3 linked regions of the Ovis aries genome follow. The protein of the gene in region 1 purifies or fractionates together with the protein of each later gene. This does not show direct contact. Links are inferred from orthologs where the notes say so. Each region holds a gene or a part of one and is shown on either strand. Other genes may lie near its edges. The genes, in order: JADE1, MEAF6 and ING4.

The links.
Region 2: the proteins of JADE1 (region 1) and MEAF6 purify together in Homo sapiens (affinity purification with mass spectrometry; 5 studies listed by BioGRID and IntAct, counting the BioPlex papers as one, with this or other methods). This does not show direct contact. The link is inferred for Ovis aries from reciprocal best matches to the Homo sapiens genes JADE1 and MEAF6.
Region 3: the proteins of JADE1 (region 1) and ING4 purify together in Homo sapiens (affinity purification with mass spectrometry; 4 studies listed by BioGRID and IntAct, with this or other methods). This does not show direct contact. The link is inferred for Ovis aries from reciprocal best matches to the Homo sapiens genes JADE1 and ING4.

Annotation. Positions count from the first base shown.
Region 1 is NC_056070.1:29,236,648-29,241,025, forward strand, and holds the start of JADE1 (protein Jade-1), read right to left. Parts: upstream 2,806-4,378; 5' UTR 2,630-2,805; coding exon 2,500-2,629; intron 1-2,499.
Region 2 is NC_056054.1:12,341,790-12,346,236, forward strand, and holds the start of MEAF6 (chromatin modification-related protein MEAF6), read right to left. Parts: upstream 2,833-4,447; 5' UTR 2,825-2,832; coding exon 2,735-2,824; intron 1,541-2,734; coding exon 1,425-1,540; intron 1-1,424.
Region 3 is NC_056056.1:209,616,201-209,618,680, forward strand, and holds the end of ING4 (inhibitor of growth protein 4), read left to right. Parts: intron 1-160; coding exon 161-275; intron 276-441; coding exon 442-547; intron 548-759; coding exon 760-907; intron 908-1,168; coding exon 1,169-1,230; intron 1,231-1,326; coding exon 1,327-1,366; 3' UTR 1,367-1,964; downstream 1,965-2,480.

The sequences.
Region 1 (4,378 bases):
TCACACTGCAAATGGCTCCAGCTAGAAACCCAGGGTTTCCCACCACCTGGCCCCTCCCTGCTCTACCCAAACATCTCTCCTACCAAGACCCCCTAATCAGCTTGCCTGGCCTCTATCATAAAACACCTCTTCTTTCCAGCCTCAGCCTCTGCGCCCAGTGCTCCTTGGCCCTTTCCTCCTCACCCATCCATCCCAATCCCATCTCTTCTCCAGGGCTCAGCTCAAAACCACCAAGTACCATCCACCACTCCAATTAAAACCATTTACATTCAGTACCACTCATTTCACCTTTTTCATCTTTTAGAACTTTTTCACTCAGCCTTTTAATGTACTATTTTCTTTAACATGCAATCAACTCCTGCCTTGCATCATCACTCAAATATTTTATACAAGTGTGTCTCTAAAAGGTTATAGTTAAATTCTAGAGAACAGAGATTCTCTTGGATTAAATGTGAAATAAAGACTTCACAGAAATGGGTCTTAAGCAAAACTTCAAAAAAAAAAAAAAAAAAACGACTTCAAAGGGCAGCTACAACAGGCACCCCCGGAACTCTGGGTCCAGTCCTCAACAGGGCTCTTCTAACATTCTATCTGATTTCATCAAAACTGGCTTCAATGTGATACAATTTACGGGAGCCTGGAGTGTCCATTTGCCATGAGAAGCATAACAGCTAAGTAGACAAAATACTAATTATTAGGCATTTGGGACTTTGCCCAAAAAGCAAAAAAACTACCTAGGAAACCTGATTATAATATGAACACTGCCTAGAAAGGCCAAGTAAGAGGAAGTCATTGGCCAAAGACCCTGGCTGGATCAGTCAAGTGACAGTCCTTTGGAAACGGGGAGGACGAGCCGAGACAACCAGGTGCGCGTGGTAGCTGCGCAGGGCACCATCTCCTCAGGAAGCACAGGCGACATCCTGCATGCAGACCACTCTCCTTCAGCCTCTCCTGCCACACGTGTTAAAAAGCAGTGGATTAGTTAACATGTTCATTCAATTAAAACTGCATCAAGTTAGATGCCAAAGATATGATGAACAAGGTAGGGAATGGCCCAAAGGGAGATACAGTAAGCAGATATCTAGATAACTAGCTGCAGTGTGGTAACTGTTATGAAGACCTGGGTTCAATCCCTGGGTCAGGAAGATTTCCCAGAGAAGGAAATGGCAACCAACGCTAGCATTCTTGCCTGGTACAGATGACCCTGTTAGGCTACAGTCCACAGGGCTGCAGAGAGTCAGACATGATTGAGCAACTAACACTTTCACGGGATATGTACATGAGACAGCAAGCTGCCTCAAAACCTTCAAATTTATGTTTTCCTTGGACTGAAATTAGGGTGGAGAATCGGCAGGCACTAAGTTAAGAGCAGCCCTTAGCTGAAGGAACCCATCCCCAAGTGGTTCAGGAATTTGCAAGGGAACAAATTTAGTGACCTGGGTGTGGTTCCAGGGAGGCATGACTGGTATGTGACTCTAGCCAAGAAAGAATGAGAAATGACCCTGGAGGACAGAAAGAAGAACTTTTACAAAAGAATAAGATGATTAAGAATTTCAGAATGTTTATTCAGTGCTACACCTGGGAAAAAGACAGATTTGAGGAACTGTCCCGTTATTAGAATCATTCTGTGGTGGAACAGGGACCATTTATCAGGCCATAAACTCTACAGCTATACTAAGGATTGCACCCTAGTGATTTTCATTGCTTATGGTTTATATGCAGAAAGGCTATTTTTTTCAAAGTATCAATTTTGTCCAGTATGTTTTCATTCTTCACTCTCAAGAAGTTCTAGAAAGTACTCAAAGACCTCTACATATTCCTTCTCTGTGTATCACTTAATACATAACTAATGCAGTGGATGAAGGGGGCTTCCCAGGTGGCGCTAGTGGTAAAGAATCCACCCGTCAATGCAGGAGTCAAGAGACTTGAGCTCAATCCCCCCGTCAGGAAGATCCCCTGGAGTAGGAAATGGTAACCCACTCCAGTATTCGTGTGGGAAAATCCCACAGAGGACCCCGGTGGGCTATAGTCCATGGGGCCAAGAAGAGTCGGACACGACTGAGTGACTGCACACACCCACACAATGCAGGATGAATGACTGAGTTCCTGAATGTAAACTCTATCCTATGTTCAACTCAGCTTTAGAGAATGTGAGACACTTCACTTTAATATCTACTTGACCTTTAGTTGGAGTAACTTCTATTAATTTTCAAATTTATAAGGTGTCCTTCCATTCTCTGTCAAAGTTAATAATCTAATATTTAAATGTACTATATTTTTAAATGTATTTAGCATATGTATAATATAAAAACATACATTAAAGAACTGACTTTCAGACACCAAGAAGTCTTACATAAAGACAAAAGATTTTGAAATGAGGTGGCTCTATTTGCTAAGTTCAGACATTCAAATATTATTTTTAAACACTATGCAACATGATTTGGTCCCTTAGTCACTGGTCATAGACTATTAATACTTCCCCCATAAAGAAAGACTCACATTTTCTTAATAGATCTTCTTTCTTCTTATCTTCAATGAGTGTGAAAGTGAAAGTGAAAATGAAGTCGCTCGGCCGTGTCTGACTCTTTGCGATACTGCGGACTGTAGCCCACCAGGCTCCTCCGTCCATGGGATTCTCCAGGCAAGAATACTGGAGTGGGTTGCCATTTCCTTCTCCATTCAAAGAGTATACATTACCCCAAATAAAATACCCAAATATAATAATGACCTATACTTCAAAGTAATCTCTTATCCATCCATAAATGAATGTGAACAAGATCAGCTGGTTTCTTATCTCAGTTTTTATAGCAAACATTAATGTCTTAGACATAAAGTTTTCAAATTAACAACACTATCTAAATTCAAATGCTCAGAGTTTAAAAATACTAGTGTGACTGTAACTCAAACCCAGATTTCTCACTTTAACCAAAAATTATATCTGGTCAAAAAGACAGTCATAGATTTGATATAACTGACAAACTGCTTAGATCGTAAGTGTTAAAAGCTTTAATCTTGTCTAAATATTTCAACTCAGAAAAAAAGAACTTATAAAAATGTGTCTGTTATAATGTCATGTATCAAAATTTATTTAAAGGACATGGTGCCCAAGCTTCTACAGTCTCTGCAGGGACATCCACTTGAAAATATTCAGCTGAAAAAGAGTTTATATTAGCAACAAATAACCTACCACCTCTCCCCAAGAAAAGATTTTAATAACTGCCCAGATAATCATAAATGCAATACTCATCCCTGTGAATGTTACTAATAAAACCCAAGTGCTGTAACACACTAGTTCACCATTAAGTTCTTTATAAGTTATTTTTAAAACCGGACTTTAAAAGTAAATAAATTTTTTCAAGATTTTAAGAAATTTATAAATGTGAGTGGTTCTGAATGAATCACAGGCAGCTCCCATTTGCCTTTATAAGTAATCCAATCTCTGTTCATGAGCCCTAAAATAATCTATTAAATCCCTCCTAGGTCTCTGTAATTGATGACAATTAGAGTCAGCACCTGAAGAGCAGTTATGATAAAACATTCCAACCATCTGTATTTGGGATGTATTTTTGTTCTCTTTCCATGAATTCACCCCAAACAATATAAGGCAACCAGACATCATGGACTCCAACCCTGAGCTTCTACCCGTTTCCATCTACTCAGAATTCCTTTTTAGTAGATCTGTATGTTCAGATGTTGGAAGTACCAAAACACATACCAAGAAAGAAACACCCACAAACTGCAGGGGAGAAAAATGGAATATCAGCCCATTTACATATAAAAGAGGGAAGATATATATATACACACAACTGCTTGCATATTCATGGAAAATTTCTGGAGTGACTGCAGAGTTCTAGACTGAATAGGTTGGGAAAGTTTACTTCCATTTATGACCTTTTACAGCATATGACCTAGACAGCATATTAAAAAGCAGAGACATTACTTTGCCAGCAAAGGTCCATCTAGTCAAAGCTATCGTTTTTTCCAGTAGTCATGTCTGGATGTGAGAGTTGAACTATAAAGAAAGCTGTGTGCTGAAGAATTAATGCTTTTGAACTCTTGAGAGTCCCATGAACTGCAAGGAGATCCAATCAGTCCATCCTAAAGGAGGAAATCAGTCCTGAATATTCATTGGAAGGACTGATGTTGAAGCTGAAACTCCAATACTTTGGCCACCTGATGTGAAAAACTGACTCACTGGGAAAGACCCTGATGATGGCAAAGATTGAAGCCAGGAGGACAAGGGGACGACAGAGGATGAGATGGTTGGATGGCATCACCGACTCAATAGACATGAGTCTGGGTAAACGCCAAGAGTTGGCGATGGACAGGGAGGCCTGACATGCTGCAGTCCATGAGGTCGCCAAGAGTCAGACACAAC
Region 2 (4,447 bases), on another chromosome or scaffold:
GCATAATTGTGGTTACGTTAAGAAAGATGCTCTTATTCTTAGGAGGTATCTGCTAACACAATTAGGGACGAAGTGTCCAAGATCTGCTTTTAACTTTTGAATGGTTTAGCAGAAAGTATAATACACATATATGGAAGAAAGGAGAGATACAACTACAGAGGGGTGGCAGGAGGCAGATCTTTGTGGTGACAGAACAGTTCTATATCTTGACTGCGGTGGTGGTTACAGGAAGCTACCCACTTGATAAAATGATAGAACTAAACTTACACATTGTACCAAGGTCAGGTTCCTCCTTTTACCATTGTACTAAATGGTTACATAAAACCCAACCACTGCGGAAGACTGAGTGAAGGATATATGGAACCTCTCTGTATTGTTTTTTGCCTATGTATCTATAATTATTTAAAAAAATTTTTTTTTTTAATTTTAAGTATAGATATGGGGATGTATGGGTTTCCCTGTTGGCTCAGATAGTAAAGCATCTGCCTGCAATGCAGGAGACCAAGGTTCGATCCCGGGGTCAGGAAGATCCCCTGGAGAAGGTAATGACTACCTACTCTAGTATTCTTGCCTGGAAAATCCCATGGACAGAGGAGCCTGGCAGGCTACAGTCCGTGGGGTCAAAAAGAGTTGGATACCACTGAGTGACTAAGCAGGCATGCCCGCATAGAGTGTGTGCTTGTAAATTACAGAAAGGGAAGAGAGAGAAATCAAACGTGACAGCAAGCTAACTGGTGATCGGTGAAGGAGATCAAGAGATCATGAACTATTCTTTCAATTTTTCTCTAGATTCGAAAATTTTCAAAAAAAAATTAGAACATTTTTAAGAATAATATTACTAAATAAACCATGGCACAGTTGGCATATAGGTAGGGCAAATCCTGTGAGGGTGGAACTCTTGACTGATTAAAATGTACAAAATAGCAAGAGGCATGCTGGTATATAAAGTATTATATGCTGTATTCCATTTAAGCCTCACACAACCCTGTGCCATTGGCCAGACTTCCCCTACTGTGTAGGATTTGTCCAGGGTTACTCAGTGAGGCAGGGGTTGAACCAGAGACCAAGCTCGAATGCAGACCTCTGTCCACCCCACCTTACTACTGCTTCCCTCCAAAGCTACCGCCAAGGACATACATAGTCCTGATCACAAATACAGTTGTTGCTGTTTAGTCGCAAGTCGTGTCAGATGCTTTGAGACCCCATGGACTGCAGCACACCAGGCTCCTCTGTCAGTGGGATTTTCCAGACAAGAATACTAGAGTGGGTTGGCACTTCCTTCTCCAGGGAATCCTCCTGACCCAGGGAAGGAACCCACACTTCCTGCACTGGCAGGCGGGTTCTTGACCATTGAGCCGCCAGGGAAGCACCAAATGCAAACATTAGTAGGGCACAAAGCAACACTACAGGCTTCTGTCACTCACTTTTGGTTGGTCAGATACCGATCCCAGCCACGAATAATGTTGCCGTACATCTGCGTGTCTTCCAGGTAGCTTCCTTCAAAAGCATAGATCTGTCTCTCCAAGTTTGCCAGTGTTTCCTGAGGTGAAAGACAAGGAAACAGTTGATGCCTTTTACATGCAAGCATTAAGTCGGACCAAACTGACATCCTGGTATCAGGCTTAGAAATTCAAGTTCAACGACACCGAGTCAGCCTTGTGGAGAGAGGGATGACATGGGTAGGGGCAGGCTGTTTCAGACAAGACAGTCTAGACCTGTCTTGCTGGGTGCCTTTAAGAATAAAATGAAATAGATTCTGTCCCTAGAAAAATGTACACCCAGGCAAAAGTCTGTATATACTCAGAGGCTTCGTGGAAACCCAGCTGTCAAGAAACCGCGGAGGAAGAAGGTGAGCAGTCTCCACTCCCACGCATAAAAGACACCGCTACCGGAGAGGGAAGGGTGAGCAGCCTTCCAGCGCCAACTCGCTCGCCTCCCTGCAAGCTCCGAAAGGCCGCCTGCACCGGGCGGCCGGTTGCTATGGAAACCTGGAAGGGCAGCTTCAGGTAAGATGCGCCTCCCGGTGCTCCAGCCAAAAACGCAAGGGGAGGGACGGCTTAGCCACCAGGGAGCAAGGGGCCCCAGGCGCGTGTCACAATTTCTAATTCCCTAGGCTGAGTCCGCTCCCCCTCACCTGTCATCTTCTAAGAAGTCCCCGAACACATCCCACGCCTGCCCATCAAAAGCCCCATCCAACGGATCTAATCCTATTCCCCGCAAAGACATTAACGCCCCTCCATCCTCCAAAGGTCAGAATGGATGTGTGGGTCTCCCCTCCCACATCCGTCTCCTACCCCACCTCCCCAGAGCCCACAGCCAAGCCGGAGCCGATCTCCTCCACCCTGCCGGCACGCTTGCCGCCCAATCGCTCCAAGAGCCCAGGGCCGCCCGCCCTCATCCAGCCCGCGGGGCTCGCGGACCCTCGCCGCCGCAGGCTCCCACACGGAAGCCCCCACCCGCGGGCGCCAACCTCCCTCCACGCCTCCGCCGGCCTAGCCTCCCTCCCCCTCCCCCGCTCCGCGCCCCGCCCCCGGCTCCCGGCGCCAGATCCGCCCGGCCGGGAAGCCGAGGCGCCGGCGGGCCGCGCAATGCGCAGCCGTCCTCAGGCCGGCGGACTCCCAGCCGCCGCGCTGCGCCCGGGGAGTAACGAACGGCCCGGAGCGGCCGGGCCCGGGCCCGGAGACGGGGGCAAGCGCGGGGGTTTCACCCGGGCACCCCCGGTGCCGGCCCTCACCGCCAGCTCCTGCTTCCGCTTCACGAGCTCCGCCAGCTCCCGCCGGGTGTCGGGGATTTGTGGCGGCGCCGCCTTGTTGTGCATCGCCATGTTGGGCTGAGGCGGGCGGCGGCGGCGGCAGCGCTAGGCTGGGGGCGGTCCCTTCGCGCCACCGCCCGCCAGGGGGCGCCCGCCGCCACACTGCGCCTGCGCGCGCGGCTTCCGGAGGCGCGCTGGGCGCCCCCCAGAGCTCCCGCCGGTGGGCTCGCAGGACCCCAAGGGTGCCCTCTGCCCTAGGTCCCGGCCGCATTTCTGCACTGCAGACTCACCGTGTCCAAAATAAGACTTCTCGGAAGTCTCATCAGTGAATGACTTTTAGTGTCCGCGGAATTACTCGAGTCAGAAACCTTTGTACCGGCCTCACCCTTCTTCACCCCCTTAATCCGATCCAAAACCAAGTCCTCTGGACTTGACTCGAGCAGAGCTCGTAAATCTGTTTCCTTTTGTCTGCCACCTCCCTCATTCATCCAGGCTCTCGTTTTTGGAGACATTCCAACAGCCTCCTGTTTCTATCCTTAGCTCGATTTAATCCATTATCCAAAGTGGTGCCAGGATGATTTGTTTTTAGAAAACAAATGTGTCACCTTCTAGGTAAAAACCTTTCAGTGGCTCCCTATTGCCCTTTAGAGAGACAAGTATGTGCGGTGGTTAAGGGCACAGACGAGCTGGAACAGACACCTGGCTGGTGGCAGAAATGGAGGAGGAGGAACAAAGCTGAGGTCTGGGAGATGATGATTCTGTGAGTTTTCAGACACAGAAAACAAATTTACCATTACCAAAGGGGAAAGAGGGCAAGGAATAAATTAGGAGTCTAGGATTAATATGCAGGCACTACTACATATAATATAAATAACCAACAAGGACCTACTCTATAGCACAGGAAACTATACTCATTGTATTGTAATAACTTATAAAGGAAAATAATCTGAAAAGATTCCATATATGTGAATCGCTTTTCTGTACACTTGAAATTAATACAACATTGTGAATCAACAATACTTCAATAAAAAACTAAAATTTAAAAAACGCTACCTCTACCATTGATGAGGCTGGGCCACCTTGAGCAGGTAGCTAAATTTCACTTGTCTCAATTTCCTCATCTGTATAATGGAGGTAATAATAGTGCATACTTAACACAATTGCTGTAAGTCTAATGTTGTTATGGAAAGCTTGGCCTCTCCATACACTAATGCCAAATCAAATCTTGGAGACAAAGTTTTGAGTGAAGTAGAAAAGGAAGGCTCTATCACTTTGCCAGGCAAAGGAAGACAAACTGGGCTTCTGTCTCGAAAAACTATGTGTTCCACCCTGGGAGGATGTGATGAAGGGTTTTATAACAATAATTCAAAACTACCCTCTAATGGTGGTGCTAAGGCTTCTCCTTGCGGTGGCTCCACTTGCTACGGAGCACAGGCTCTAGAGAGTTCAAGTTCCAGTAGTTACCGCACGTGGGCTCAGCAGCCGTGGCTCCCGGGCTCCAGGACACAGGCTCAGCAGAACCCGGGCTTAGCTGTCCTGCAGCATGTGAAATCTCCGTGGACTAGGGATCGAACCCATATCTCCTGCATGTTAAGCAGTTTGAGCATAGGTTGGTAAAGAATTTCCAGACACACAGCATTCCAGCAGGGAGCGAGTATAAGAATGAAGAGCAGAGATAAAGTAGGCACCGAGAGC
Region 3 (2,480 bases), on another chromosome or scaffold:
CCCACTACCTCCCGTCTATTCCTCAGGGTCCTCCACCCCTCCTTTAGCGTGCTGGGATCTGTTTGGGGTCTGGGAGATGCATGGATTCTGCCTTAGCCTGTTTGCTTTTACTGGAACCAGCCTGGTAGCTCTTCCTTCTCCTTCCTTCCTTCCCACCCAGGTGGACAAACACATTCGGCGACTGGACACAGACCTGGCCCGCTTTGAGGCTGATCTGAAGGAGAAGCAGATTGAGTCAAGTGACTATGACAGCTCTTCCAGCAAAGGCAAAAAGAGTGAGGAGGGGGGTGGGCCATGAGAGTTGGAGCGAAGATTCCAAGAGGGCAGCCAGCCCATCCCTCAGCTCCAAGGGAGGACCCCTACGTTGGAGGAGAGGAGGGGTCCTTAACCCATCTTTCTGTCCCTCTGCCTTCTGGCTGCCCCTCCCCTCTTCCCTGGAAGGTCGGACTCAAAAGGAGAAGAAAGCTGCCCGTGCTCGTTCCAAAGGGAAAAACTCCGACGAAGAAGCCCCCAAGGCCGCCCAGAAGAAGTTAAAACTTGTGCGCACGTGAGTGAGTCAGGGAGCACCCTGCCAAGTGACAGGCTCCTCTTTGCCCCCGCCCCGCCCCTCGCCCCCTTCTCTATCACTCTGGTATCTGCTGGATACAGAGGGGAAGCCACAGACCACTAGCCTCACAGGGATCTCCTCGTGCCACTCTGAGCGTCAAGCTGTAGCGTCCCTTCCTGCAGGTGATACTCTCTCTCCCTCTTGGCACGCAGAAGCCCTGAGTATGGGATGCCCTCAGTGACCTTTGGCAGTGTCCACCCCTCTGATGTGTTGGATATGCCTGTGGATCCCAACGAACCCACCTATTGCCTTTGTCACCAGGTCTCCTACGGGGAGATGATTGGCTGTGACAACCCTGACGTAAGAACCGGTTTGCCTCAGGGCGGGGGGCTCTGGGGGACAGGAAGGGAGTTGGGTACCAGAAGAGGGTAAGGGCTGAAGAGTGGGACCTCAGGACAGGAGGAAGGGAGTTGGAGGTGGTTGGCCTTGGACCCTTCAAGAATCCTCCCGCCGGATGGAGTAAGGGAATGCTCCTGAGGACTCCGGGTGGGGGGGTTCTCTGCTTTCCTCGGCCCCAGCCTGCCCCCTGCCCTCTGCTCCTCCACCGTCTTCCTTTTCCAGTGCTCCATTGAGTGGTTCCACTTTGCCTGCGTGGGGCTGACCACCAAGCCTCGGGGGAAATGGTGAGTGGGCGCTGTGGTCGGAGCTGGACTGCCCTGAGCTGAGTGACGGGGGGCGTCCTCCGCTTCGCTCACCTCCTCCCCCACCTTCCTTTGCAGGTTTTGCCCACGCTGCTCCCAAGAACGAAAAAAGAAATAGACAAGGGCCTTGGATTCCAACACAGTTTCTTCCACATCCCCTGACCTGGCTAGTGGGGAGTGGGATGCCTGGCTGGGCCGGGGGTCAGGGAGAGGTGGGTGGCACATGTTGTCATCTCCTCTCCTCCCCTCCCCACTTCCGGTGCTGAGGCTGCACCCAGACCCTGGTCCAGGGGTTCTGCGGCCGCTAACGGTATGTGCTCTCATTCAGCCCGCCCCCTTCAGAGGGAAGTGGTCTTGCCCACTGTCCTTTTGCCTCCACGCCGAGGTTGGTGCTGTGTTTTTGAGGGATGGTCCTCTTTTCTCCCGTTGCTTTGTATTTAAGGACTGGGGCAGTAGCATGGGGCCCTCCTCCAGCTTCCTGATTCCCTCCCCTCGTTTTGGGGGGGGCCATGCGTGATAAACTTCCTTCACTCTCTCCATGCTTTTTCCAGCGGGGGGCTCCTCCGGGTCCTCTGGGCCACGGCCCTGGCTGAAGGGGCACCCCTTCCTCTGTGCCGAGAGGATTTGTCCAGCCTTGTGAGTGGGAGGGGCAGGGCAGAGTGTCAGTATCTCACTTGTAAAGGAATCGAGTTGGTGAATAAAAGCTGTACGTGTTGGCCTGCTGTGTTTATTGTAGAGACACTGTTTTAGCACATGTGCTGAGCATAGTTTGCATCCTCTGAGTTGGCTAAGAGGCAGGAGGATGTCATGCTGAAAGTAGGACCAGACATGGAACCTGAAGTGGTACCGCTGCCCCAGGACCCACCACCTCTCAGCATGGGAAGGACAGAGCTGGCTGGAACTGGGCCTCAGACAGGGGGTTTCCAAAACCTTCAAGATGTGCATCTTTTCCCTATATCTTTCATTTAATTTCCAATAAATGTGTACTTGTGTTTTATACATGAACTGTTATACTAAGTATTAGCCTGACTTATTTGAAACACAAAGCAAAAACTTACCACCAATGAATTGTCTATGCCCACCTGGAACCACTTCCATAGATTAAGCCCTCCTTATGCAGGGTCTCCTCACCAGAACCCCCATCTTACTCCCTGCTCTGGCTCACTTACCTGGAGCTGTCCTCTGTAGTTCCTACCCTCCAGGCCCCAACTTTGTGTTGCATGTTCCATCTC